Canis lupus familiaris: one gene and its partners. The protein of the gene in region 2 interacts with the protein of the main gene of each other region in a biochemical or structural test. Links are inferred from orthologs where the notes say so. Each region holds a gene or a part of one and is shown on either strand. Other genes may lie near its edges.

Region 1 (9,673 bases), on a different chromosome or scaffold from region 2:
GTTAGCAGCTCCAGGTCTGCCTCCCACCCCTCATTCCAGAATCCACCACCAAGAAGCTAAGGCCTCACCTGGCCACTGGTGGTGGCCTCCTCTGGCTTCTTGTCTTCACGGACCCGGATAAACCGAGGAAAGCGAAGGGAGATCCCCTTCTCACCATCCACCTGGGGGAGGGGGAGATGATGGAGACCCTCCTGGGGTCTAGCCGACAGGCCACTCAGGGCAGCAGTTCCCCATCCAGGGTCTCCTCCCTGCTCCTGCCCTCCAGTTTCCTGACCCATACAATGGGGCCAAGCAATGGATTATAAAGATTAAATACGATATACAAAAAAACAAAAAATACGATATACAGCCCTATCTTAGGACCATACCTGGAGCATTATAAGTGCTTAAGAAATGCTAGTACCATAGCTGTGGTCTATGCTGTTGTTCTGTTACTATTCTCAGGGCCAAAGGAGCAGGACAGCAGAGGCAGATTGCAGATTTGAGAACCAGATGGCAGGGTTCAAATCCCATCTCCCAACTCAGAAACTGCGTGACCCCGGGCGAGTGACCTCAGCTCCCAGGCTCTACTGCCTCAGCTAGGGAGGCTCAGTGCTTTGTGAGGATGGAAAGGTGCACTCAAGTGCCGTGCCTGTGAGCACAGCACCTGCTTCATACAGAAGCTCCATAAATGCTGCTCCTGCCACTTGTCTCCAGGGAACCCTGTCTAATGTGGAGTCTTAGACATTTCAAGACAGAAATTCAATTTAAAAATATGAGTCCTGAAAAAAAATAAAATAAATAAAATAAAATAAAAATAAAAAAATAAAAAAATAAAAATATGAGTCCTGGGGTACTGGGGAGCTCAGTGGTTGAGCGTCTGCCTTTGGCTCAGGTCATGATCCTGGGGTCCTGGGATCGAGTCCCACATCGGGCTCCCTGCAAGGAGTCTGCTTCTCCCTCTGCCTATGTCTCTGTCCCTCTCTCTGTGTTCCTCAGGAATAAATAAAATTTTAAAAAAATTTTAAATAAAAAATAAATTAAAATATGAGTTCTGGGCGCCTGGGTGGCTCCAGCAGTTGAGTAGCTGACTCTTGGTTTTGGTTCAGGCCATGATCTCAGGGTTGTGAGGCTGAGCCCTGTGCAGGACTCAAGTCTGCTTCTCCCTCTCCCTCTGCCCCTTCTCACTTTATACTCATTCTTTTTCTCTCTAAAATAAATAAATCTTTAAAAAAATGAATATATGAGTTCTGCCTTTAAAGGAAGTCCATTTCTAATCAGAAAAGTGCATGCTACCTAGATTTTGAAAGATTGTAGGAAATCACAAAGAAAACACATTTCTTCTGGAGAAGGCAGAGAGCTGCCCTAGCACCGGCCAAGGGGCAGTGTACCTCCCCGTCTGCTGACCCTTTGGCTGGTGTTGAGGGCTGAACCACTGGTGAGAGTGATCAGCCCAGGGAATTTTATTTTATTTTTTTAAGATTTTATTTATTTATTCATGAGGGGTGGGGGCAGACACAGGCAGAGGGAGAAGCAGGCTCCATGCAGGGAGCCTGATGTGGCACTCGATCTTGGGACTCCAGGATCACACCCTGGGCCTAAGGCAGGTGCTAAACTGCTGAGCCAGCCAGGCATCCCAGCCCAGGGAATTTTAAAATGTGGTAGCATGAAAACAAATTATGGTTCAGAAAGACGAGCCACAGCCCGCATCACTGCTCAGCAGGAAGTGTCCTAAACTGTTACTCAGAGGAACTGTGTTTTCAAAAATCAGTGAAGAGCCAAATGTGAGATTAGGGTATTAAAGGAAACAATTTGTTTACTTTTTGTACCTGGGGAATTTCTTTTTTCTTTTCTTTTTTTTTAATTGAGACTCTGACCCTGTTATCTGACAGCCAAATAAAAAGCAAGCTCAAGCTTTCCTAGTTACTATCAGCCCGGAGCACAGGTGTCACCCTCACGAGCCCCTGCTCCTCATTTCCCATCTGGAAGGTCGACCCTGGGTCCCTCCTGCTGCCTGGAGCCTGAGGTGTTCCCCTTTCCTCTACCCCTGCCCAGCCTACTCACCAGGCCCCGGGCAGCAGGGTAGATGGGCGACAAGGACAGATCCGCACACTTCACCTCCCACACGGCACTGGGGTCCAGCCAGTGATCGGGGGCCACGGCACCGTCGACCCGGACATAGGAGCGTGGGGTGGGCAGCACCAGGGCCTGCAGAGAACAGCATCGGGGAACAGCAGTGGACATGAAGAAGAGAGAGGGTCTTAGGTCTCAAAGTCAAGGCTGGGGGTTGGGGCGTCAGGGAGGGAGGAGAGAGGGAAGAAAATGGGGAAGGGGATAGATGGCAACATAGACATGTCTTAAGGTAAGAGCTTGGGTGGGGATGAGGGCAATGGTGAAAGGAAGAAATGAGACAGAGACCTGGAGAGAGAGAGAGAGAGAGAGAACCAAAGAATGTCACAGAGACAGAAGTACCGGCACACAGGGAAGGGAGTCGTACCCCCAAATACCCGTGACCATGCAACACTCCCAATTACTAGGGGATTCACTCAGGGCCAACTCAGGGACCCCTGCGATAGTGCTCCCCTGAGACGCATCCCCCAGCAGCAGAGGCAGGAGGCAGGCTCCCTGACCCAAGTCCTGGGCACTGTAGCAGCCAGCAGAGCTGAGACTTGAACTCTGGACACGGGGGGCTCTGGAGCCAGCTCCACCACCACAGAGTGTGCCACGAGAGGTGGAGAGGCAGGCTGCTCACCTGGAGCCTCTGGTAGTGCTCCTCCAGTTCCTCATCACTGAAGCCAGTTCCGAGCTGCGGGGAGGACAGGGAGGGCAGGTCAGAGGTGCAACCAGTGGCTGAGTATTCCCCACTTGCGTCCCCCCCCACCCCGACCCCTGCTCCTTCCACTGAGGACTCAGATTTGTGCATACCAGAGGCCCCCATCCTACCCTGGCCACAGAAACCACAGAGGAAGGGCTGGGCAGAGGGAGGGTTGCTGGGCGCAGACCCCGGGTGGGGTAACACCTCTCCCAGGGGCATCCCCTGGCCCACGTGCTGCCCTGTGCTTGACGTAGAAGCCCTTGCTCTTTCCGCTCCATCCCCCTGGCCCAGGTGTCGCTCCCTTGGGCTCCCCTGAGTCCCACCTACTCTGGAACAGGATGTCCTCTCCAAACTCCACATGCCAGAGATTTTCCTTCACCCACCCAAATCGTCAAGCCTAAAAAAACCTCGCTGCCAGCAAACGTAGTAAGATGCATATCTTCAAACCACGGATATAAACATCAACCGGAAAGCCCTTTCTGAATGGAGAGCCTTAAATATCTTCTCCGGCAGAAGCTGTTTCACAGAAAACCGTTCTGGGTAAATAGTGTAAAATGACCCCGGACCGGTGCCCTATGATCTCTGCGAATTGTTAAGACCATGTCTGTCACGGGTCACCTGGGCTAAGCATCGTGTGCAGTGCTGATTTACTCTCAAGAACACAGCAGGCCACGAGCACAGGGAGCTGGTTCAGGAAACAGAGCACATCTTCCACAAACAACTGTGAAAAATTCTGGGCAACCTCGCTAAAACAGAGGCAGAGGCCAGTAGAGAGGGTCCCCCTAACTTTCGGTTACAGGAGGGATTGTCGCTTACAGAGCCTAAGCCAACATTCGGTGATAGGCTCCAACAGAAGAATCCACCAATAGGAAAGAACCATCCATGACAGGGCCCCCCGGGGAAAGACAAGACTTTGATCTGAGAACGGGACCAACACAGCAACTCAGCCCCTGAGAAACCCTCATCCCTCTGAGCTGCTTTTTTCCCCCAAGACTTTCATTCAAAACAACTCTTCTCACTTCCTCCTTCTTCCCATAAAATACCATTATTTTCCTTTGCAGGAGGAGCCTACGGTTTCGCCAAGGCTTGTATGTCCCAAAATACAATTCTATGCTATTTCTGAACAAACCCATTTTTGCTGGTAAAATAACAGACTATTTTATTTTTAAGTTTAACACATTCGTGCTTCTAAAAGTCCTGAAGATGAGGGCAAACACTCTAACGTTTTTTATCACCATGTTACTTATATGTATCTGACAGTATTTAAAACATGGGATTTAGGGGACACCTGGGTGGCTCAGTGGTTGAGCATCTGCCTTTGGCTCAGGTCGTGATCCCAGGGTCCTGGGATCAAGTCCCATGTCGGGCTCCCTGCATGGAGCCTGTTTCTCCCTCTGCCTGTGTCTCTGCCTCTCTCTCTGTGTCTCTCATGAAAAAATAAAATCTTAAAAAAACATTATTTATAGGAGAAAAAAATCCCTTATATACAAAGATCACAGCTTTGTAAAAGTATAAATAAGACATTCCCTCAAATTTTATGAGTGGTTACCTCTGGGCACTGGAATAATGGGTAACAGTTTATTCTGTTTCTGTGGCAAAAGCCTCACATTTGTTGGATCACCAATGTGCATAGCTTTAAACAAAAACAAAACCCACTCCATTTCCTAAGCTCCCCTGTGGAGGGAGGTGGGCCGTGGAGCAAAATTCCAACCCATGTCACAGAAGCTGTTCGTTGGCTGAGGCTAATGTAGGGGGCACATCCCTCTGCTTGCGGCCTTCCTCTTTCCTGCTGTTTGGAGCGTGCATGGCTGTGATGGCTGGAGGCCCTGCAGCCACATTATGAAGATGAGGTCAGAAGCACATGACAAAACCCCTGTGCGGGGACAGAAGCCTAGGCCCCTAATGTCATCAGAGAGCCGCCTGCTCCTCTCCAGACTTCTCATTATATGAGAGAAAAATAAATCCCTTTATGTCATCATCTGTAGCAAAACTCAATTCTTAACTGGCACAACTTCTTTACATCTTTTTATAATAGCACATACTTCTATGTAAGGCAAGAGTTACTTATAGGATCAGAAAAAGCAAATAAAAACTAGAAAAAAACTTAATCCTTCATAGGAAGAACACGAGAGCCTCTTGGTTCAGGCACCCCTCCCCCCAAGGTGGAGTCGAATCTACTCCTGCCTCACAGCACCTTGCATATGGCCTGGAGCTCCTCACTCTCCTCGTCGTAGGCAGCCAGTAGGAAGCCCCCATAGCGGCCAGCCCGTTTGCCACGGCCCAGGTAGGCGCCAATCACCACGAGGTCCAGGGTGTCGCCCACACCATCGAGGTAGTCCTTCTTCAGCTAGGGAGGGAAGGCCAGAGGTGAGGGGGCACTGAGACAGACCTCACTGCTGGAGGCTCCTTGATGCTGGAGCAGGGGTCATCGGGGTGAGCCAAAGGAGAGCGCTCTTGTAGAGACCGAGGACCATCACCAGGCTGAGGTGGGATGTGGGAGGAGCTCCTAGACTTCCAGAACAAATAGGAAAGAGACGAGCGAAGGGGAAGGAGCTGGCGAGGCTGAGGGGACAAGTCAGATGGAGACCCTGGGGGTCCCCCTTTCCCTTGGGATAGATGTACATTCCACTTACTCCTTTACATGGAAAACACTTATCACTTGTTCCAGAAAGTGCCAGGCAGGAGTTCAGCCTGGGGTATGTAGCAGGGAAAATGTCCTAAGACAGGAACGCTCATACCCTCCCAGCTGCTGACAGTCTCAGGGGGACAGACCACAGGCCCCTCAAACATACCGGGGAAATCCTTCTGGCTCCACTCCGGCTCATCTCCTGCTGCAGTCCTCTCGCCCCTCTCCAGGCTAGCCTCCTGCCCAAGGGTTCCCAGTCTGCCCAGCACCCTCCCCAACCATCCACCATCCTCAGCCAGCCAGATGTCTCATGCCAAATGACAACCAGACCACAGGACTTCCTGTCTCAAACCTCCATTGGTTTCTCAAAACCCTCAGAGGAAAACCCAGGGTATTTAACGACCCCCAAGGGGCTGTGTCATCCGAGGCCTGCCCTCCACCCTGACCTCGACTCACACCCTAATCACCTTGCTCCCTGCACACACGGAGCTTCATTCCTACCTCAGGGCCCTTGCAATTGTTGCCCCCACCCTTCTCCTAGACACTCTGTCCCAGATCTCCATGTGCCTGACTCTCTCCTGTCATCTGTGCCTCAACGCAAGAGTCAACTCTGGAAAGGCCTTTCCCGATGACCAGAGCACTGCAAGATCCTCACTGGCCCCTGACTTGACTTGCTTTCTCCACAATGCTCATCGCCCCCAATGTCATCTCATTTATGTCCTGACTGACTCCCTCCCTTCCCATCGGCCCCACCCAACAGAGAGGGGCTATGAACTTAGAATAGAAACCTCATCTAACTTCCATGGCACTCAGGCCGGGGCAGTTCTAACTGATTCTTGGTGAGTCCAGCAGCAAGGATTTGTGGAGGGGTGGTCTGTGGCTGGCTGGACAGGGAGGCATCAGGGACCGAGAAAAGGCTCCCACACTTAAACAGGGTGGAGTGAGGACTGGGAACCAGATGGAAAGATGGCCAGATTTGGGAAGGGCACCTTGAGCCAGTTGTGGGATCTCTTGGCGATCTCATAGGTGGCATCAACGTCCAGAGTTTTCACCATCAGCCCCTCACAGGAGTCTGAGGGAGACATAAAGAGTGACCTCTGTGAAGCCCAGCTCATGACAGCCAGCCAGCCGGAGCCAGCAGCTTCAAGTGAAATCACTCGGGGCGGGGCAGCCAAGAGGGAGTACACATGGCAGCTTGCCCCAGGCCCCCATACCTTTCACAGACTGCTCTAAGAACTCGGCAATTTGGTCCGTGTCCTTGGTGTCCAGGGAGGTGGCGAACACAAACTCGCCCTCCGTCTCCACAAAGTTCTCCCGGAGCAGCTGCCGGCGTCGGGAAAGAGGCTCACGTACCAGGGACTGCATAGGGCAGGAAAAGAGAGAGGGTGTCACTGTGGAGGTAAAGAGAAGCCTGGGCTCCCACGAGATAGGAAGGCCCCCGACAGGGATGAACCAGGCCCACACGAGGATTTTGAGAACTTCGAGGACCCATTTCAAGGGCAAGTCAAAGGCAGCAAGGGGAGGGGCACCGGGGTGGCTTAGTTGGTTCAGTGTCGACTCAGATCATGAGCTCAGGGTCCTGGGATCAAGCTCCACATGGGGCTCCCTGCTCAGCAGAGTGCCTGCTTTCTCTTTCTCCCCATGCTTGTACCCTCTTTCTGTCTCAAATAAATAAATAAAATCTTAAAAAAAAAAAAAAGGGCAGCTAGGGGGCTGGAGACCGGTCAGTCCTGTGACCTCAGGTGCATAAGACAGGGCCACAGTCCTTATGGAGCTGGAATGGACTCGTTATTGTGGCTACAGTTCCATTTACAACACGGGTTGAATAAAGGTGAAAGGCGCCGATGACCACACGGATAGGAGATAAACGTGTTTCTGAGAGGATGCTTTCCACTTTAATCCAGGGGTCAGCAACCTTGTTGCACGAAGAACCAGAGTCAATACTCTGAGCTCTGTGGGCTACTGGGGCTTTGTGACAACCGCTCAGCTGTGGGCTGTAGGGCAGAAGTGTATGGGCATGCGGCTGCGTTCCAATAAAGCCTCCCTTACAGATGAGAAAGGCCGAGACAGATTCGGCCTGCAGGCCCTGCTCTACTGAGCCCCGAGTTAGAGCAAATCTATTCGTGGGAAAGTGCTGCTTGCCTTATACTATGAAACAGACTTACCCACCTTCCGGAAGTTAATCTACTCTCTGCGATCTTATTAGCTTTGATTGAATTAACCACACCCTTTCACTTCCATCCATGCTCCTGATGGGCAGGCACAGCCCATTAGAAATCACCCTGATTTCATTAGTCAAGTGCAAGCGGTGGCCATTCAGCTGCCAGATCGTTAAAGGTTAGTTATCTAAGATGATGGCGGTGTTGGCAACTCATTCTAGAGGATAAACACTCGTATGTAGCCAGCCACTGTGCTCATGCCCAGGTCCCATCGCTTCATCTGCCCCATAACAAGTACAGCGGGTGCTACTGTCAGCTCTTTATCATGGACAAGGAAACTTGAGACTCTGAGAGGCTGTCACTTATCTGCGGCCACACAACCAGGAAGGGAGAGCTGGGATATCAAAGCAGGTGGCCTGGCTCCAGATCCTTAACCCATGCCCTGGAGCAGCAGTTCTCAAACTTTGCAGTCTCAGGACCCCCTCCCACCCGTGAAATCTGCTGAGGACTCACTCCAGAGAGCTTCTATGTACGTGGCTTACATCTCTGGATATTTACCATAGTAGTGACGTAGTATTAGCTATCATATCACATGTTAACATTTGCTATGTTAGAACTGAGAAATCTTGACGTTTATCAATTCATTTAAAAATAATAACTCCAACACATTAACCCAATAATATGTCATTTATGAAATGTGCCTATGTTAGAAAAAGTGAGAAGAGGGGGCATTACTTTATACTTTTACAGATTCTATAATGTCTGGCTTTAATGGAGCTGGACGCTCACATGTGTGTCTGCATTCAGACAGCGGCAATGTGTTGCTCTGGCTGCCATACAGGAAGAGAATCTGCCTCATATGGCTGCGGAGCTGGGAAGGGCAGGCAGGACCTCACAGACTTCCCCGAGAGTGTCCTGGAGACCCTCCGGGGTCCCTGAGAATCACTGCCCAGTGTGGCCACTCAGAAGGTCGGCTCCTAAGCTCATACACAGCCCCCACCTCCCCCCGGCTACCCCCAGACATGCAGCCAGAACTCACCTCTCCATTGAGATAAATGAGGTCGAAGGCATATAGACACACCTGCACCTGGATCTCTGCTGCATCCACCTCCTGGGTTGGGGCAGAACGGGGAGCAGGGGTGGGGAATGATGACAGGGGCACGGTCGGTTTGCCTCCCGTCATGCCCCAGGCAGACACCTGTCACTACCACTCTCCCCTTCTCTCCAGGCAATAGTCCACACACCCGTGAGAGTGACAATGCTACTGGCTCCTGGGTCTGCAACCTGATGGCTCTCAGCTAATCCCAACAAACTCAATCCCTTTGTCAAATATTTGCTCTCCCAACCTCCCTTGCAGCTAATGGCCAATGAAGGTAAAGAAGTTTGGTGGGGCACAGGTTGTGGGGGGGGTGGGGATCCTGGCACAGATCTTTCATAATAAAACAGAGACAGGGGCAGCCCTGGTGGCTCAGCGGTTTAGCGCTGCCTTCAGCCCAGGGCATGATCTTGGGAGACCCGGGATTGAGTCCCATGTCGGGCTCCCTGCATGGAGCCTGTTTCTCCCTCTGCCTGTGTCTCTGCCTCTCATGAATGAATTAATAAAATAATAAAATAAAATAAATTAAAATAAAATAAAATAAAATAAAATAAAATAAAATAAAATAAAATAAAATAAAATAAAATAAAATAAAAAAACAGAGATAGGAGAAAGGCTCTTTCCTCCTTTGTACTTGGTATGCTGGGATGAGAATGCAATGGCTGGAGCTGTGGCAGCCACATTGTAAGGCAGCAAGAACCATATCCCGAGGAACACTCTGTCCTTCTGGGGTGGGGCAGGGCTAGGAGGAAGAGGAGAAACTGTGTGACCACGGCAGGTAGTGGAGGGAGACTGAGACTACCTTGCGTTTGCGGGTGGTGAGCACTTGGAATGGCTGGATCTGCTTCTTTTCTCGGTCCCATGCCACAGCTTCTGTGTCCAGAATGAAAGACGTGACTGACGGGAGTTTAATCTGAAAAGTGAAGAAGGAGACCCAGGGCTGCTGAGAGGTAGGGGATGAGGCCCAGAGAAACAGGTCCTTTTCCTTCTACAGCTCT
Region 2 (9,673 bases):
GAGGGGACGGGAAGCCCGTGGGGCCTGGGGCCACGAGCCGAGCCGGCGGCAGGGTGTCAGGGTGCGGGGCAGGCAGGGGCTCACAGCACACAGTCGTGGTAGCTCTCCCGTGCTGCGATGTGCAGGGGCGTGTCCCCATGGTAGTTGACGGCGTGGAGGTCGCAGCGGGCGTTGAGGAGGACCTCAGCGATGGCCGCGCTCCCAGTGAAGGAAGCCCAGTGCAGGCAGATGTTTTCCTCCTGTGTGGGTGGGAGGGGTGAGGGTGGGTCTAAGCCGTGGGCGCCTGAACCCAGTCTCCTCTCTGCTCAGACCCCATCTCCCCTACCCCCACCAGACTCTCACATTGTCCGTGAGCGTGACGTCAGCACCCCGTGTCAGCAGCATGCGGATCACTTCGATGTGCTTGTGCTCTGCGGCCCAGATAATGGGCGTCCAGCCCCCACTGTCCTGTGGGTCGGGAGAGAGGGAGGAGGGTGAGGGGCTGCCGTCCCCTGCCCGGGGCCACCCAGCAGCTGGCCTAGCTTACCCAAGCAGTGCGTGGTCTAGAGCACAGGCCCTAGAGCTGGACTCGGAACAGGGGTCTCTGCTCCACCCCTCATGTGTTACAGGACCCTGGCTAAGTCTCTGAACGTCTCTAGGTCTCAGCTTCTTGATCTACCCCATGTGACTAATAGCGTCTACTGCTCAAAGTTGTGGAGTAATTTTTCTCTTTCCAAAAAGCACATATTTTTTAGGTCTTTCCACTCGAAAGTCCTAGGATATGGTAACCCAATAGCAATAACCACTGCTGAGGACACAGACCACGTCTCTAAAAAACATTTCCTGTTTAAAGGAACCAGAGTCCCTTAGAGAAATGGTAGATCAAGTCTGGGGCAGGAAATGTACTAAGAGGTAAGGATGCTCTTAGAAGTTGCTGGGTGGGACCAAAAGCCACAGGAGCCAGGCTCATGGGGTTCCTCCTGGACAAACCACAGGACAGTTCAAAGACTGAAAAATGACAGTAATGGGCTAAAACAGACCCAACATATGACACACTAAGAGGTAATAAGAAGCATCGCCACACATTCCTAGAGATTAAGGCAGCAACTGATCATTCCAAAAACATAGAAAGAAGCAAACAAGAAAAAAGTGGAAAAAAAAATACAAATGAAGAAAAGGCAAGAAATAGGGACAGACTGGAACAGAGTGATGGAAGTGTTGGAGATCAGCAGGGGCTGACAGGAGGCACAAAGGCCAGGGCTGAGCCAGGGGCCCGGAGGAAATTGGCTGGGCAGCCAGCCAGGCCACTCACCTGGGCGTTGACGTCCACCTGTCCTGTGCTGAGCAGCAGGCTGACCATCTCCAAGTTCCCGATTTTGGCTGCATGGTGGAGGCAGGTGGAGCCATCTTCCTCCTGAGGGAGATGTGGGCAGATGAGTCCCTTGCTGGCACCTCAAACCCTGTTTCTGACCCGAGGTCCCAGCTGGCCCGGTCACCACACCTTGCTGTAGACACAGCCGCCACGCTGCACCATGTAGCGAGCTACCTCCAAGTGGTTGTTCACTACAGCCTCCATTAGCGGGGTCCGCTGCTGCTTGTCTACTGCATTGATGTTGGCTCCAGCCTGTAAGGAGGGGGCATGTGGGCTGGCATCACAGAAGGGCTGGGCAAGAGAGGGGGCGCAAGGGCCTGGTCCACGAGACAGAGGGCCTGGTCCGAGCTGACCTGCAGTAGCACGTGACAGATCTCAACAGAGCCCTTCTGGGCGGCCGCGTGCAGGGGCGTGCGCTTGCTCTGCTGATCGCTCTGGAAGTTGGGGTCCAGGTTGTCCACTGTGGGGAGAGCCCGCCATACCGGAAGAAGGAGGGACAAGTGGTAAGTGACTAAGGGGCAGGTAGGACCTCCTCTAGGAAGGCTATGTGGGGTGGGGGGCCCTCTGGGCAACGCAGTTAACCTCTCTGGGCTTCCACTGGCAGGGCTGGTGTGAGTGGATGTGTATAAACACAGCACCTACGTGTTTGTCGTCACCACTGTCCCCATCATCCTGGGTTATCTGTGAGTATGTCTCCCCCTCCACGCTCCGTGTTTCGGGGCAAGGATGATGACCTTCACTGTTGTACCCCCAGCCCTGGGCCCGGGGTCTGGCATGTATGGTCTGGTGTTCCATCAAGGTCTGCAGAATGAATGAATGAATGAGTGGAATACTCACACAGCATCAGGATCACCTTCTGTAGCTCCCCCTGTTTCACTGACAGGTACAGCTGTCGGGGGTGGAAACGGAGTTTCTTCCGCCTGCCATGGTGAGGGAGAGGGGTAGGTGTCTCAGAAAGGGAACCCACCTTTCAGCCCCAGCCCTCATCGCCATGCCTGAGAGCCACCCCTCATTCACCTCTCTGACTCCTGGATGACCAGGGCCTTCTCCAGGGCCTCGCGGCCTGGACCCGGTGGCAGCCCCACGGCTGAGAGGCAGCCCCCATTGGGAAGGGTCAGGGAGGGCCCTGAGCTGTCGATGGTGTCGGCCAGAGGGTCGCAGGGTGGGCGCCGGGGCTCCCCATGCCCTCGCATCCGGGCACTGTGGGAGAAGGTGCTGATGTGTACCAGCAGTGGTGTTGGGCAGGGAACAGATAGTTGGGAATGGGAAGGCCAGTACCTGGGCTGGGAAGTGTCTGCTCTCCCAGGGGCATCCTGAGCCAGGGGTGGGGGGGCAGGGGCTGCAGTGCCAGCTGGTGGGGTCACCCCATCCCCCCGGGGGATGGTCACCTCCTGGGCCTCAGATGCATCCTCCCCACAGTGGGGACAGAAGACCATGCCATTCAGCTGGGACACACAGGCCTTGTGGAAGCGGTGGGCCACACGGAAGTCAGGGTGGCACTCCAGGAACGTGCCCTGGAAGACAAGGCATTCAGGCTCCGGGAGACCCCTCCCCCATGGGGCACGCAGCCTGTCTGCCCCACTGGTTACTCACCGCTGTACAGAAGTAGCCACAGCCGGGGCAGCAGTGGTGTTTGACCATGCGGGCACGGTGGGTCTCACAGAGCACCATCAGTGCCACGCGGCTTGATGGCCTCATCGTCTCCCGTTTGAGGATGGCAGCATTGCAGCCCGACAGCTGTGGCAGTGTGAACGGGCAGGAAGAGGGTGAGGCTGGGGCCTGGGGCTGGGTCCCCCCCACTGCCGGCACCTCTCCTATCAGCTCACAGGCCCACCTCTCCATCCACACTCTCTGTGGCCATGCACTTGTGCCCAGCTCTCTCGCTGATGCGGTCAATCTTGGGAGCCTCCATGCGGCAGCTGCAGAGGGGCAACTCCTCAAACCCCCGTTCCGTCTCTAGTGAAGACGTGTCATTGGATATCCCTTGGACGGAGGGAAAAGGGCGCTGAGCGAGGCCATCCCCATCACCCATGGGGACCCCTGGTGGGGCCTCTCACCCCCGCCCTGCTTTTCCCTCATGCTCTAGAACCCCTAAAGCCTGGCCATGGAAGGACAGACACCTGGGCTCCAGTGGGATCCTCCTCCTCCTCCCGGTACCCCCCAGCCCAGAGGCTGCCCCCTAGTGGCTCGCCATCCCAGCAATTGGCAATTACCAGCGTGGTTGGGGGAGAGGGTCCCCTCGCTGGGCAGCTCCAGGGACCCCAGAGGGACCTCCATGTACTCACTAGGGCCTGAGGAGCCCACACCATTCACTCCTGACATAGAGACAGAGAGAGTGAGAGCACGAGCTCATAGGTGCCTGGACACGTGGGTACATGCGTGAGTACATGCGTGAGCGTGTGTTTGTGCACGCTCTCTGGGGGCTGGGAGAGGGGCTGGAGGAGCAGACCCAGAAGCTGAGGAGCCTCCTCACCTCGTGGCTCCTTGGCCCGGGGAGGCTCGCGCTTCCGCCGTTTCCTAGACGGCTTTACCCATGGGCTGTCCTTCCGCCACTTCTTCTTGGCTTTGCGCCGGCCACTGGAGCCACTCTGGGATGGAGGAAGAGTTAGAGAGCCTGGGCCCCAGCCCACGACCTCTCCTCCCCTCTGAGGACTCAGACCTCTGGCCCCAATCCCAGCGTCCCCCCTGCTCCACAGGATGCCCGCTGCGAGCCCTTACCCGGTCAGACTGATTGCCTGATTCCTCGTCTTCTTCTTCTTCTTCTTCCTCTTCCTCTTCCTCCTCCTCTTCTTCTTCCTCCTCCTCCTCTTCCTCTTCTTCCTCACTCAGTTGTTCAGCCAAAGCTTCAACCTCAGACTGGGAGAGAGGCAAGGCAGGGCTGGGGAGACAGCAACCTCCAGCCCATAGCCCTCTCTTGCAGGTAACTTGAGAAAGAGACAGGGAGGGACTTATCCAACCCCAAAGACTAAGGCAGTGAAGCTGGAGAAAGAGCTACTACTACTGTCCCAGGATGGCTCCCTGGAGGTGAGCATGGATGGGAAAAGGAAGTGAGCTGAATGTTAGACAGCTGTGAAGAACTCACAACAATGTGTGTGAATCTTGGGAACATATTAAGCAAAAAAAAAAAAAAAGTTCAGAAAACAAGCACATAGTTTAAGTCTTGAAGTTCACATGTAAGCAAAACTACCCATGGCCACTCCAAACACTAGATGGAAACCTAATGATAAACTTTATAACGAGGATGAGGTTGACATCCCATAAATTCTTTTTTAATATTTTATTTATTTATTCATGAGAGACACAGAGAGAGAGGCAGAGACATAGGCAGAAAGAGAAGCAGGCTCCATGCAGGGAGCCCGATGTGGGACTCGATCCTGGGACTCCAGGATCACACCCTGAGCCAAAGGCAGACGCTCAACCGCTGAGCCACCCAGGCGTCCCGACATCCCATAAATTCACTGACCAATCTCAAACATGACTAATAAAAAGACAAGATGTCCTGTGCCTCCCGATATGACACAACAGGAAGTATGCACACCAGCTATCAAATCCTCTCACCATTAAAAAAAATAAAAACCCCAAATCACCCGAAGCCGATCATGCTTCTAGATCTAGTTTACATGAAATATCGGGCAGAGAGGACATTTAGTCCTCACCCAATCAGTGAATTCCTAAACATGAGGAATTCTGTATCACAAGTGACCTGGTTTCTTCAACAGATAAATGGCAAAAAAAACTTTTTCAAAACCAAGGGCATCCATATCCAGAGAGACCTAAGGCAAATGTCAATCAAACGAATATATGGAGCCCATCTGACAAACAGTGGCACCTGGGTGGTTTAGCGGTTGAGCGGCTGCCTTCGGCTCAGGGCATGATCCTGGATCTGGGGATGGAGTCCCGCATGGGGCTCCCTGCATGGAGCCTGCTTCTCCCTCCGCCTGTGTCTCTGCCTCTCTCTCTGTGTCTCTCATAAATATATAAATAAAATCTTAGAAAAGAAAATCTGACAAACAAAAACCTGTTTACGAAACCACCAAGGCATATTATGAACCCTAGTAGCAAGGTGATGGTGTTAGGGAGTCACTGGTAGTCACCGGGAGTCACATTTTTCAGATTGCGAACAGTGAAGCAGTGATATCAAAGCATAGGAAGAGGTCTCACATTTAAAGATACAAATGGAAACATCTCCAGATAAAATGATGTGATGGCTACTTTAAAACAGTCAGGGAGGTGGGCCGGTTGGTGGAGGAAGAGCTGAATCAAGAGCCACTGTGTCCTGAAAATTGTGGGAGCAGGGTGAGGCTCCATGAGGGCTCACCATTTACTCTTTTGTGCATATCTGAAATTTTCCCTGACACGTTAAACAAAGTGCACGTCAGGAAGACCGCATTATGTCACATAGGTAAATACAAACATATGAGATAAAATCAAACTAAGAACAAAAGAATAAACAGACAAACCACAGATAAACAACAAAATGGGGGCAGCCGGGGTAGCTCAGCGATTTAGCGCCACCTTTGGCCCAGGGCATGATCCTGGAGATCTGGGATCGAGTCCACATTGGGCTCCTGCGTGGAGCCTGCTTCTCCCTCTACCTGTGTCTCTGCCTCTCTGTGTGTCTCTCTCACGAATAAATAAATTAAATCTTAAAAACAAAAAAAAAACCCAAAACCAAAATGGGATGCTAAACCCAAAGTCCAGGATGGTGGTTACCACAATGGAGAGGGGCGAGGGGCCGGGCTGGGGTGGAACACACAAAGGGAGGAAGTTACAGAGAGGATGGGAAGGTGAATTAGGGGGTGTCACAAGGTAAAAAGGAAAGAGAGACAAAGGGGGTGGGTGGGTGGGAAAGACTGGAGAGTGAGCCTTGGCAGAGAGGTAGGCTGGCTCCTTCTCACCTTGCTGTCAGAGTCCACACGCTCATCCACAGAGTAGGAGTCGTAGTAGAGGCTGAAGTCATCCCCCACCACTGTCTCCCACTCCTCCAGGGACCCTGGGTCCCCTTTCTCCATGGTCACTTCTCCTGAACCCCGTGCAGAACCCAACTCCTCCGACTAGGAAAAGATCAGAAAAATGGAAGCTGCTGGTACTTCCCTTCCCAACCATTTCCCTTGAGGGCAGGATGCAGCCCCCCCCAGGTGGAGAGGCCTTGTCTTCAGCCTCTCTAGGCTCACCAGGCCACCTCCAGAGTTCAGCTTCCTCCTTTTGGCCACATCTGGAAGGAGAGAGAGAAAGGAATAAGGCTGGTTCTTCGACCCTCCGGACAAGATTTATCAGGTGGCAGGTGGGTGGGGTGTGGGGGTGGCGCTGACCTGAGGTCATCTTCCCCAGCGAGTGCAAGTCATCACTCATGCGGAAATGCTGCACTTCAGGGGGCCGCTTCTCTGGGACAGGAGGCTAGTGGCAGAGAGGGAGCACACTTTAGGGTCAGGGAGCATTTGCATTCAGTCAAGGGTGAGCCACACCCTCAAAAATGTCACCTGAAGCTCCAGTAAGCCAGAATGTGGCAATCACAAGAAGTGCTGTCTCTCGAGAAGAAGGGTATGAGGCACATTCCACACCTAACACTCACCTTTTCACTCACCCGAAGGAGCGGGCCCTCTTTACCCATTTTACAGATGAGAAAATAGGTTTGTGCCTTGCCCAAAGCTACCTAAACCATACCCAAACCCCCAAAAACACTGTCACAAAGCTTCTGAAATTCTGGGGCTTTTTGTCCTTTCCCTCACCCTCCTTCCCTGTAGGGAGTCACAGTAAAATCCTTAGAAGCCCTTTGAAAAAGGAAGCAGGGGGAGTTTCAAAGGGAGGGAAAAAGCTCCCTTGGGGCTTGCTTTGAGGTAGAAAGCAAGTTAGAAGTTCCTTAGTCATTATCATAAGAATAATTGGGACAATTAACTACAACAGTAATCCTCTAACCTTTTTTTATTTTTAAAGATTTTACTTATTTATTCCTGAGAGACAAAAAGAGGCAGCAACAGAGGCAGAGAAGCAGGCTCCCTGATGTGGGACTAGATCCAGGATCATGACCCGAGCCAGATGCTTAAACCACTGAACCACCCAAGTGCCCCTCTAACCTTTTTTACAACTCCCCTCTCCCCAAGAATATAAACTTGTCTGTCTGTTCAGATCAAGCCCAGCCCAGAATCTGACACACAGTAGCCCCTAGGTAAGTATGGCGAGCCCTGAAGGGATGAGAAAAAGTCTGAAGCTAAACTGTAAAAAAAAAAAAAAAAAAAAAAAAAAAAAGTCCACAAGGGGTACACAGTGGGTTACCTGGGTCTCCCCACCTCCACCCCTCCCCCTCATTCTCACCTGCCCATTTCCTGGTTTGGACATGGTTTTTCTGGCTCGGTGGACCTTGGGCTGCCCCTCTGGGCTGGGTGTGGCTGCAGGGGGTTCAGGCCCCGCTGCTGCCCCCTGGGCTCCCGGCATACTCAGCAGCCGCATAGCCAAACTCTGGACTGAGGGGGGTGATTTTGCTGCGCCTGTCATTGACATCTTGGCGCGGCTGGGACAGGCACCCCCCTTGCTGGGGGAAGAGGGGAATGACTTTGTGGCATGGCCTGGAAGACAAATAGGCAGACAGAAACAAGGTAAGACGAGAGGTAATCAGAGGATACCCCCCCTCTGCCCCCCAGGCCCCTGACTCCCCAGCCTCTCACCCAGCAGGATTCGGCTCCCGTGGAGGTCCCCATCTCCCTCCAGATTCTCAGGTTCATCCCCAATGAGCGGTGTGGCTCCTAGGGGGGTGTCAGCCCCCTCATCACCCACGGTGACTGTGACAGAGGCTGGGGATGAGGGGCCAGCAGGCTCCAGGGAGTCAGGGCTGGACTTGGGCAGGGTCTCCTCACCACGAGGGGTGTCCCCCAAAGAGCCGTGAACTGTAAGGGGAAAGAAAAAGTTCAGGGCTAAGGTCTCGGGGAATCCTGTGTTGGGGGAGGTGAAGGTCCAGCTGGGCCTGTTCAGCCGCACTCACCTCTCTCAGAGGCTCCTCTGGGCTCCTTCTCCAGCACCAGCGCCCCCATCTCAGCAGGGGCCTCCCCCTGGCAGGGGACACAAGGTATAGGAGGGCTGGTCAGCCCGCTAGGAAGTTGGGGAGCCCAGGACGCCTGGGCTCTGGGAAGAGAGAGTAGGCTCCGGGGCCTACCTCTTCCTCGATGGGGGCCCCCCCGTCCGCGGCCTCGGCTGCCCTGGGGGGCCGCACGACCCCTCCCCCGGGCCCGCATCAGCCCCCTCCCTCTCGGCAGACCCCGCATCTCTGGGGCCTGGAAAAGAGGAGGGGGAGGGGGCGGGGCCTCTGCGCCCCGGCCCCGCCCCCTCCTCCCGGCTGCACGCGCCGCTCCCCCTTTGTCCCCCAGGCCGCGGGGACCCCGGGCACCAACCCCTCCAGCGCCCGCCGCTCCCCAGCCCGGCGGACGGCCCCTCGTGCCCCTCGCGCGCGCTCCTGGGGCCCCGGCTCCCGCTGCCCACTCGGGGGCAGCCGGCGGCTGCACGCGCGCCTCCGTGCCCACTCCCCCCACCTCCCACCCCCTGGTCCCCTCATCCGCCCCCGGTGCTGGCCCTCCGGATTGCTGTAGGTCTCGTCCGGGCCCCCCGGCCCCGTTGCACCCCCGGAGCATTGCACGGGCGCGCGCTTCCCCCGGGCGCGCGCGCGGGCATGCACCCGCCTCTCCCCCTCCCCTTCCGCACCTCGGCGGCCGCCGCCGCTGCAGCTCCCGCCGCCGCCGCCATCGCCGCTTGCGCGGGGGGCCGAGCCGGCGCGCGGCCGCCCCGGGTCACGTGGGCGGGGAGGGGGGGCGAGGAGGGGCCTTAAAGGAGCCACGGCGCGCTTTCTGGCCATCTCCCCCCACGCCGGGAGCGGCCTCGGCGGTGGCAGCGGCTGCCCTAAGCTGGGGGCTTCGGGGGCGCGTTCCCGCCGCTGCGGGCGTCGGCTGCGCGGGGAGCCGAAGGCGAGGCACGCCTGGCCGGGGTGGCCCCTCCGTGCCCCGCCTGTCCGTAGGTAACGAGAGCGGCGTCTGAGCGTCCCGGCTCGCGGCGGCTATCTTCCCGAGGAGGCCCGCGTCTGCTTCTCCCGCCTCGGTGCGCTCTAGTTTCTGGGTCTCCGGGTAGCAAGTGTCGGCCTCGCTTCTCCCCCGAGCAGGAAGGGGGCAGCGGGAACGCATGGAGGACACCGGTGCTCTCGACTGCTTCGTACCGGCAGGAGCAGCGTCCTCTCCTGAACCCGGGGCTCAGGGTCCCTTCTGTTTGAGCCGGGTATGCTAAGGCACCAAGTGCACCGGGGACCTGAGTAACCCCCAGAGGCTCCACAGTCATCACCGCCTG
Region 3 (10,155 bases), on a different chromosome or scaffold from region 2:
AGCATTTGAAAAGGTGGATTGAGTAGGGCAATTTGGCCCAAGGAACTGTTGTGAACAAAAGCAATGAGGCACGTCTGAGGTAGATGGTGTGTAAACTAGTTTGGGCGGAGTAGACTGAATAGGAAAATGGTAGGTAACTGCTAAAAAATTTTCTACAAGATCCCTCTCCTCCTTAAAACAAAGATCAAACTCCTCAGCGTGACATCTAACACCCTTTGGTTCCAACCATTTCATACTTCTACTCCCTCACAAAACCTACAGTCCTGTTAAAACTATAACCTGAACATATCTTGCACATTTCCTCCATGCAAGGCTTTGTTCATTATTAAGAAGGGCACCTGTCCAACACCAGCAGCCAAGATCCTACCCATCCTTCAAGACCGAACTTAAATGCTACTTCTTCCATGAAGTCTACCCAACCTAGCCAAGTATTATTTCTCTTTTCCTTGCGGTTCTTCAAGCATTTTGTTTCTATTTTTACTCTTAATTAAAGGCAGGCCTGAGCCCTGTGTAATGTGTAGAACCTTGTATGGGCAGTTGGATGGATGTCTGACTCCAAAAATCAGGGAAAAGATGTCCAAAGCTGTCAGCGTTTTAGGGAATGATCAGTGAGGAATCTGATCAGCAAGCCCAAAATCGTAAATATGCAGTACACCTTTGCTGAAGCATTAGCAACTATGTACCAGTCATCAAAAGGCAGGTGAAGACATGTGTGATATATACTCAATGTGTAGTCTTCCTGACTCATGCTTCTAAACTGCTGTTAGTCTGTTTGTTAACCATGGCTGTTTGGGAGGCAAATGCTTTCCAGATGGAAAACTTTACTGAGTAGAAAACAAGAACTCATGCCACATACCCAGTAAGCAGGAGTTTCATTTTTAAAGGAATACCTGCTCCTGAATTTCAGGACCTAGGACTAGAATACTGATGTGTTAATAAAATGAGAATTTTATCTGAGATGTGTCCAGAAACTTGGCTAACTCCTTTCAGTATGCTCATGTGGATGAAACTATACACACAGCTTTCAGTTGAGAGGCCACAGGGATGGACAAATATTAGTAGGACACAGTGATAACCTGAAGCAAGTCTTTTAGTTTAAGACGAAATAAAAATGATTAGAAAGCTAGGCCAGAAGTATGGCTAAGTTGGAATTAAAAGCAGAGATCAAAGCATTCACAGATAACAAGACAAAACCAGATTATTGACACTAACCTTCATACCACAGTTCGGGTAGGCCCTCAACGTGTTAGCTATTATTAAAGAGAAAGGCACAATTTCACAGACAAATTAGGTAGCCCCTTCTTGGTCAGTAAACCATAAAAGCTAAAGGCAGGAATGAATTAATACAAGTTAGTCAATTCATATAACGACATGATCTGAATTTTGTTCATATTTGGGTAACTTCTCCAATTAACTTTGGACAGTCTATTCAATTTTTCAGTAGACACCACTATCTGGAAATACCATTTATTTAACCCTATACATAGAACCCAAAAGATTTTTCAAGATACTTTTATTTATTTATTTTTTTAAGATTTTATTTATTTATTCATGAGAGACACAGAGAGAGAGGCAGAGACACAGGCAGGGGGAGAAGCAGGCTCCATGCAGGGAGCCCGATGTGGGACTCGATCCCGGGACTCCAGGATCATGCCCCGAGCCAAAGGCAAACGCTCAACCCCTGAGCCACCCAGGTGTCCCTCAAGATACTTTTAAAACAAGATATTCAAACTATAGCTTGCTATTGAAACCCAGAACCTGGAGCCTCTCGTCTTTGCCTAAGGTATTTAAAATTGTTACTTGCACAATCTACAGACCAAGATGAGTATATTAAAAACTGAGGCTAGGACAAGCATGACAAGGACAACAGTTATACTCTACCCAATGTCATTGATCAAAGACAGGAAAACTAATTATTTAAGTGCATATTAACTCCTTCCGCTAGCACATGGAATTCTAAGAAAGGATCTAAAAGCCATATCCATTCATTCAACAATATGAATGACCTACCATGTGCCAGACATTTAGAAGAACAAGAGGTATAGCCCCATCTTATGTGAGTTCATATGCTAGCCATTAGCATTTTGTTCCAAAAACTCTTTGGGGAAATAACCCATGAAATGAAAATCAAGCCTAACGTACAATCTGGTGGTATCTGTTATACCACCAGAGATAGTACATAAAGAAGATGAGATTCTGAGGGAGAAACTACTAGAAAATGTCAAAAATGCATCAGTTCTCTTTTTTAAATGGCATGAACTCAAAAAGAAACATTCTTCTAGTCCTTAAAATGGGCACAGAATATAATGGTTGCTTTTTAACTTTATTTTTTTAAGTTTATTTTTAAGTAATCTCTACACTCAACATAGGGCTTGAACTCAGGACCCAGAGATTAAGAATAACATGCTCTTCTGACTGAGCCACCTAGGCACTTCAGTACAATGGTTGCTTCTTTTCAGATATTTGGTTAGAAAATTATCAGTATCCCGCAGTCAAAAACGCAGAAGGCTAGGGTATCCTTACTTGGTCCCTTTCAATCACGAAGCTAGAAGCAACAGGCTACACGCACTATTTACATCTTTAATGAAAAAACTTAGGCTACAGCAGCCAAAGAAGAATAACAGCACCAAAGGGAAAACTGGAAATGAATGAAGATCCTGAACCCCCGCTAAAGCTTTATTAAGGTGTGACCAGTTCCAAGTTCCAACGGGTTTCCCACTCAATCATACCACTTACAATATAAATGCCTGTAAGCACCTAGGGAGGAACACAGGCACTAATTTCCCAATTGTATTCATGTTTCCATTCCAAACTTTGGACCTTTTCAGAGCTATTCCAAACTGCCAACACGATTCTTAATACAACTGAGGAGGCGATCTTAACCCTGGCCAGAGTTTTCCAGTATCACTGATCTTTTTGTAAACTCCACCTCAATGGAGTTAAACCAATTCAAGTCTGCATATAAGGCCATCCATGAAAAACCTTCATCTGAAGCTTTGAAGAAGTACTGCTCATTCCCGTATTCAAATTTTGTAACAACAAAGAAAGGCTAGCTTAAAAAGAAAGAAAGAAAGAAAGAAAGAAAGAAAGAAAGAAGACAAAGCAAAGCAAAGCAAAGCAAAGCAAAGCAAGAAAATCATAAGAGCCTAGGAAACAAATCTCACGATCTCACTAACTCTTCTTCTTTGTCTCCCCATTTCCCACATCATCTTACATATCTCTCACTAACTTAATTCCTTAAGTATGAACCCATCTACACGTTTCTACAATACCACTGTCTTTTGCGACCAGTGACGATCCCAGATAAAAACGTATGTAACTGTGAATCCAAGCAAGCGCTGCACTTGGGATTTTTTTTTTTTTTTTAACTCCCCGAAGGAATCAAAAGAGCTGAGGCAGTAGAAAACCTGGAAAGGGGGAAGAAATCTGGGTTTTTTGTCCTTTCTTCACACATTATTCTTACAGCCTCCCCACTGTGTGAGGACCCATCAGGAATCAAAGGCGGCCGGTTTTCCCCTTTCAACTCCTCACAGAAACACTCTCGGGGCCTCCGCCCTACTTACTCTCTCAGCTCCTCCCTCTCCAGATCCAACTCGGCACGTAACTGCCCCTTCCTCTCCTAGCCCCCTCTTCAGTTTATCCAACAGGTCTCCTCCCCGAGTAGCACACCTTGGACTGCCCAGCCCCCTCGAAGATGTCCTCGAAGTTACTTGTCCTTAGCCCGGCGAGCGGCAATTCCGCTGGCAGCCCCGGCCGGACCCCAAATTCTCAGGTGGCATTCGAAGCCAAGGGTCTCGCAGCCGTCAGCCCTCCCCTCGCCGTGTCCAAACATCAAGGCTGCCCAGCCTGTCCCCTCCTCGCTGTACTCAAGTGTCTTCCCCCAATCCGGCAGCCCACCCAACCTACGTAGCATTGTCTCGGTCCACCCAGGCCCCGAGGAGCGACCCGCCAGGGCTCGGCCCACCCCGAATCGTCTCGATCTCCTGCTCAGAGTACGCCGCCCGCCCCGCCCTCTCCATCCTTTTCGCGCCCGGCGCCCGACCCCCTGCAGCCGGCGGAGGGCCCCGTGCGGGAAGGGCGCGGGACCGGGTGCGCTCCCCGTTCCCACCCTCCGCTGCAAGCCCGCGCGGCCCCTCACCCAGGGCTCCCGCCGCTGCCGCCGCCGCCGCCGCCGCCGCCGCCGCGCGCCTCCCCCCCGCGTCCCCGCCTCTAGCGGGCTCTTCACCTCAGAGCAGCGCCCAAGAGCCCGAGAGGAATCGGTGCCGCGCTAATGGCGCGTCGCGTCGGGCCGGCCGGGGGAGTGGCGCCCAGAAAAGCAACAAGCCGGTGGCCGCAGTCGAGCCCCTCACTGAAGCGGCGTACCGCAGGCCCCAGCCAACGGCCCTCCCCTCAGCCGAACAAAAGAGCCTCGCACTCGGCGCTGCCCGCCGCCCGCACCGCGCAGGCGCGGCGACCCTCCGCACAGCCGTATGGGATTCGGAGTCCCTCCCAGACTACAAGACCCGAAGTGCTGCGCGCGTCCTACGCCACCACGCGGAGTTGGCGAGGGGTTCGGGGAGTTTTAGTTTTTAAACTGCAAGCGCTGGAACGAGTGTAGTTTAGAATGCTGCAGCCTAGAGCATTAGAGCGTCTGGTTTCGCAAGTGACCCCCATGATGCTTGGTCCGAAAAATCAACCGTTTCTGGGCAGTAATTCACATCCTCGAAAGTTTTTAATCTGAATAGGTGTCTCACCAGAGTTTTGTTGACTTTCCAATAATCTCTGTAATCCTCAATTTCTGCCTCAAATTTGTGTAAGGCTCCTACTTCCCCTTGGGAGTCTTGCTTGCCTGACGCTTAGACTAGGTTAGGTTCCCCTGGTCGTTGTCATCGTGGCATCTTACCTTTTTCGAACTTACCTTTTTCGTTGGCTGTGCCAAGTGGAGAGCTTTAGTGCAGAGCCCGCTCATCCCCACCAGCACTCCTCACCCAGCCACCTCCCAAAACATGGAAAGAGGTGAAAACCACCTCTTGTTATTCTTCGAGACAAATGGTTTAGTTCTGATTTCAACTATATCGCTGTCCTCAAACCTATTCATACTGGAAATTCCGTCTCATGTCATTCCTCCACTTTATTGTCTTTAGTTGGTGTGTGCTGTTCCCTAAACTCCATAAAGGCAGAAATCTTGCCTCGTGTTGTTTACCACTCTATACCCAGTGCCCAGTATAGTCCCTGGCATACAGTTGTCAAGCAATAATTGTTGAATAAATGATTAAATGCATTAATGAAATGTTCATCTCCTTACCTAACGGAAAGTGGAGGTTATTAGCATTTTCTTCACATCAGATTTGTGAGTGTTTCTCTTTCTCTCTCCTTTACTCTTCTTTTTTTTTCTATCTGACCAGGAACTAAATAGAACTACCAGAACATGACTTTTTTTCTTTCTTATTTGAATATTCAAATAGCCTCCTAATCAGAGGTAAAGAAGAAAGCCAACCCAGTCTACTGTATTCCACGTCAGAGTATTTACGTTAACAGTTTTGCTGAGTCAGGCACTGTGCAGGGCTCTGGAGAATTGTGGTATAAGAAACCCAACCAAATAAAAGAGCCGTGAGAGCACAGAGAAGAGGACAATTCTTCCTGAGACATTTGGGTTTAATGTCCATGGAGAGTAAAAGTCCATCTACTCACTCCTTCCTAAAGTCTCCTATTTTGTTTTTATAACTGTAACGATGAGAAAATTAGTTCTAATAATATTAACTATTCCTTTTTTTTTTATTTATTTACGATAGTCACAGAGAGAGAGAGAGAGAGAGGCAGAGACACAGGCAGAGGGAGAAGCAGGCTCCATGCACCGGGAGCCCGACGTGGGATTCGATCCCGGGTCTCCAGGATCGCGCCCTGGGCCAAAGGCAGGCGCCAAACCGCTGCGCCACCCAGGGATCCCAATATTAACTATTCCTATTAATGCTTACCTCAGCACTAGGAATCCTGTTAAGGCCTTGATTTAAAAATGTATATATTTATTGGGACCCGGCCTGGAGCCTGCTTCTCCCTCCGCCTATGTCTCTGCCTCTCTCTTTGTGTGTGTGTGTCCCTCATGAATAAATAAAAATAAAATCTTTAAAAATATATATTTATTTCAGAAAGAGAGAAAGATCACATGCACAAGCAGGGGGAGTGGCAGAGGAAGAAGGAGAAGCAGACAACTTACTGAGGAGGAAGCCCCGAGCCATCTCTGTCTCAGGACTCTAGGATCATGACTTGAGCAGAAGGCAGACGCCTAACCGACTGAGCCACCCAGGCGCCCCTGTTAAGGCCCTGATTAGTGTTTTTTAATCCTAAACAATGCTGGAAGTGGGAATTACTATTTCCATTTTACAGAAAAGACTCAGGTTGTGTAATGTGACCAATGACCTTCAGCAAGAAGGTGGTAGAACTGAAGTCTGATGTTATCTCTAACTTCCAAACCATAATTCTGCCCACATGAAATGCTACCATACCTAATTCCTCATAGTGAGCTGAATTCTGCTTTCCCATGTTGAATACCATTTCCTCCTAATTCTGGGTGTGTGGTTGCACACAGTTGTGTTCTATAAACCTAATTCCCCTTTCATATATCCTTCTAGTATTGAAATTCAGCCCTTATGTTCCCCCAAGGTCTTCTCTCAGCTAAATGTCACAATTATCTTAAACCTACGTCATAGGAACACAGTTTCAGGTCTAGCACATATAGTTTGTTAGTAAATTCTGGGCTCTTTTTAAAAAGATTTTATTTATTTATTCATGAGAGACATAGAAGCAGAGACACAGGCAGAAGGAGAAGGAGGCTCCAGGCAGGGAGCCCGATGCTGACCGATCCTGATCCCTGGACCCTGGGACCACACCCTGAGCCAAAGGCAGATAGATGTCCAACCACTGAGCCACCCAGGAGTCCCAATTCTGGGCTCCTTATATGGGTATTTCAAGTAGAGGGAATCATTGCACAGATGCTTTACACCATTCTTGAATTACAGAAGTCAAAGTTCACCTTTTCTTTTCAGGTAGCAGAGCACCACTGGTTTATGCTAATCTGTAATCAACTCAGAGCTCTCTCTGTTAATAATTTATTCTGGAATTCTGTCAGGGATGAATGTCAAACTCTCAAGCCTAAAGTTCCTGCATACCAACATCTTTTTTGAAAATCTTTTAGGGGTAGTCCAGGAGGTTCAGCGGTTTAGCGCCGCCTTCAGCTCAGGGTGTGATCCTGGAGACCCAGGATCGAGTCCCACATCGAGTCCCACGTCGAGCTCCCTGCATGGAGCCTGCTTCTCTCTCTGCCTCTCTCTCTCTCTGTCTCTCATGAATAAATAAATAAAATATTTAAAAGAAAAAAAAAAAATATTTAAAAGAAAAAAATCTTTTAGGATCAAATGGGTTCAGTTCTTTTCTCTTCCCATGTTTTAAAACAAATTTATTAAACAATTTGAATGTAATCTAGATTTCTCGCTCAGTGCCCTATCTTGACCTTATTTTTTCAACGATGATTTCTAACACTTGATAATGGCGTCAATCTTTATCATACCTAAAATGCTTGTGCCTCTCTAGGCAGTTATCATTTTGCCTAGATGGTGCCATTTTAAGTTATTTAGGCCCTCAGAGTATCTTTACTACTTAGGGTAATGGCAGCTCAGTCAGAATCTTGCTCAAGACAAAATTTGAAGTCTACATTACTCATGTCCACAGGAAATGTGTCTCTCACATGAAGTTTCTAAAATCATAAGGAATGTGGGAAAGAGAGGAAGTTGGACACTGCAAAAAGGAACAAGGACTTGGAATCAGGCTGAACTGGATTCATTTGTCTCTACTTTTTGCCTTCTGTGTAACTTCAAACAAGCTCCTTAACCTCTCTGAGCTTCAACCAACATAAAAATCTGAAACATGGAAAGATTACTTAAGACCTGACTTGCAGCATTTCTGTGAGATGGATTGTAATGTATGAAGGCAATAACATATACTAGCACTTATAAACAGTAGCTATTTTAGGTACAGCAGATAGCTGCTTCTCATGTGATTTAAGGGGTGGGGGAAATACAGCACTTTTGAAATATTTTCTTCCCTGCTGTCTGAAATTCTTTGTTTCATTTCCCATTCCCCCCCAATTTTTAAAATGATGGTAAAATCTGCATAACAAAATTTACCATCTGAACCATTTTAAGTGTACGGTTTAGTGGAATTAAATGCATTCTAATGTTGTGCAACCATCACATCCATCTCTAGAATTCTTTTTATCTTGTAAAACTGAAACTCTATACCCATTAAACAAAAATTCTCCATTCCTCCTCCCCCTAGCCTCTGTCAGTTGTCTTTGCACTTTCTAAGATTTGGACTATCTAAGAATCTTATATAAGTGGGGTCACATAGTATTTGTCTTTTTGTGACTAGCTCATTTCATGTAGTATAATGTTTGCAAGATTCATGCATTGCGGCATGTATCAGAATTTCCTTTTTTTTTTTTTTTTTGAGGCTGAAGAATATCCCATTGTACATATACACAGCGTTTTGCTTATCCATTCATCCACTGTTGGACCTTTGGGTTGCTTCTACATTTTAGCTATTATAAATAATGCTGCTCTGAACATGGGTGTACAAATATCTTTTTGAGACCCTGCTTTCAATTCTTCTGGGTGTTAAAAGACAAAATCCAACTAAGTAAATTTAAAGATTAAATTGGCTTCATTCAATCATTCATGAATTGGGCAGCATCCCATCTAGCAAATAGAAAGGAGCTCTAAAGAGCATACAAAATGGAAGGATTTAAAAAACAAAAACAAAAACAAAAACAAACAAACAAACAAAACCAAAATGGAAGGATTTTTTTTTTTAACCTCTACACCCAACATGGGGCTTGAATTCAAGAGTTGCATGCTCTACTGCCTAAAAATGGAAGGTTTTTAGAGACAGAAGGGGACAGGGACAAGAAAAATTGGATTATCTTTCTTTGGGAGTTGGAAGGGGTCTTTCAGGTAGATTATCCCACTAGTGCTGATAAGGTTACCTCACTAGACTGACCAGTTAAAATTACATTCCTGGGAGGGGCTGAAACAGCAATTAGTTTAGATTTTTAAGTCTTGGTTTGCTGACATGGGTTTAGCACTAGTGACTCCATGTTGGTTCCATTTTTCATTTAGCAGTTCTTCATTTTTTAAAATGATTTTATTTATTTATTCATGAGAGACACACACACAGAGAGAGAGAGAGAGAGAGAGAGAGGCAGAGACCTAGGCAGAGGTAGAAGCAGGCTCCATGTAGGGAGCCTGATGTGGGACTTGATCCTGGGACTCTGGGATCACACCCTGAGGCAAAGGCAGATGCTCAGCACTCAAAGCCACCCAGGCGTCCCTGTTTAACAGTTCTTCAATTCCAGAAGTAGAATTGCTGGATCATATGTTAGTTCCATTTTTAATTTTTGAGGAACTGCCAAACTATATTACACAGCGGCTGTACTATTTTACATTCCCTCCAACCGTGAGCAGAGTTCCAATTGCTCTACATCCCCACAATACTTGTTTTTTGTTTCTTTGACAGTAGTTCTTTCCTAATGGGTGTGAGATTCTTTGTCTCATTTTGACTACTACTTGACATTCTATTGATAAAGATTTATTCATTTGGGATTGACAAGCCCTCTCTTTTAAAAGGCAAATATACTTAAGAGGTATCTTTCTTACCTCCCCCATCAGTTTGATTCTCACATGACTTCCTGGTAGTTATGGGACTGTAAAAACTACACTTCTCAAATCATGCACCTATAGCCCTGGCGTTGATTGATTTTCTCATGCAAAATGATAACTGCCTAGAGAGGTACTAGCATTTTAGGTATGATAAAGATTGAAGCCATTATCAAATTTAGAAATCATTGTTGAAAAAATAAGGTCAAGATAGGGCACTGAGTGAGAAATTTAGATTACATTCAAATTGTTTAATAAATTTATTTAAAAACATTTGTTGAGAGGGTGCCTGTGTGGCTCCAACGGTTAAGCATCTGACTCTTGACTTTGGCTCAGGTCATGATCTGAGTCCTGAGATCAAGCCCCATTGTGTGGCTCTGCGCTGAGCGTGGAGCCTGCTTGAGATTCCGTATCTCCCTCTGCCTTCCTCCCTCCAGTCTGTACCTGTGCTCTCTCTTTCTCTCTCTCT

What was found.
Region 1: of the proteins of EHMT2 (region 2) and LIG1, one has a biochemical effect on the other in vitro, tested with the Homo sapiens proteins (3 studies listed by BioGRID). The link is inferred for Canis lupus familiaris from reciprocal best matches to the Homo sapiens genes EHMT2 and LIG1.
Region 3: the proteins of EHMT2 (region 2) and CBX1 form a complex in vitro, tested with the Homo sapiens proteins (2 studies listed by BioGRID). The link is inferred for Canis lupus familiaris from reciprocal best matches to the Homo sapiens genes EHMT2 and CBX1.

The regions. Positions count from the first base shown.
Region 1 is NC_049222.1:108,840,792-108,850,464, reverse strand, and holds part of LIG1 (DNA ligase 1), read right to left. Parts: intron 9,589-9,673; coding exon 9,478-9,588; intron 8,691-9,477; coding exon 8,619-8,690; intron 6,780-8,618; coding exon 6,635-6,779; intron 6,493-6,634; coding exon 6,410-6,492; intron 5,142-6,409; coding exon 4,989-5,141; intron 2,786-4,988; coding exon 2,732-2,785; intron 2,188-2,731; coding exon 2,044-2,187; intron 162-2,043; coding exon 69-161; intron 1-68.
Region 2 is NC_049233.1:1,478,755-1,488,427, forward strand, and holds the start of EHMT2 (histone-lysine N-methyltransferase EHMT2), read right to left. Parts: upstream 8,623-9,673; 5' UTR 8,608-8,622; coding exon 8,328-8,607; intron 8,233-8,327; coding exon 8,014-8,232; intron 7,915-8,013; coding exon 7,664-7,914; intron 6,749-7,663; coding exon 6,664-6,748; intron 6,567-6,663; coding exon 6,526-6,566; intron 6,406-6,525; coding exon 6,250-6,405; intron 4,208-6,249; coding exon 4,070-4,207; intron 3,940-4,069; coding exon 3,825-3,939; intron 3,667-3,824; coding exon 3,565-3,666; intron 3,335-3,564; coding exon 3,186-3,334; intron 3,089-3,185; coding exon 2,945-3,088; intron 2,866-2,944; coding exon 2,630-2,865; intron 2,552-2,629; coding exon 2,369-2,551; intron 2,272-2,368; coding exon 2,189-2,271; intron 1,812-2,188; coding exon 1,705-1,811; intron 1,604-1,704; coding exon 1,481-1,603; intron 1,394-1,480; coding exon 1,292-1,393; intron 448-1,291; coding exon 343-447; intron 240-342; coding exon 85-239; intron 1-84. UniProt on the Homo sapiens protein: Histone methyltransferase that specifically mono- and dimethylates 'Lys-9' of histone H3 (H3K9me1 and H3K9me2, respectively) in euchromatin.
Region 3 is NC_049230.1:24,330,382-24,340,536, forward strand, and holds the start of CBX1 (chromobox protein homolog 1), read right to left. Parts: upstream 5,390-10,155; 5' UTR 5,285-5,389; intron 4,454-5,284; exon of another isoform or gene 4,226-4,453; intron 4,213-4,225; exon of another isoform or gene 4,139-4,212; intron 1-4,138. UniProt on the Homo sapiens protein: Component of heterochromatin. Recognizes and binds histone H3 tails methylated at 'Lys-9', leading to epigenetic repression. Interaction with lamin B receptor (LBR) can contribute to the association of the heterochromatin with the inner nuclear membrane.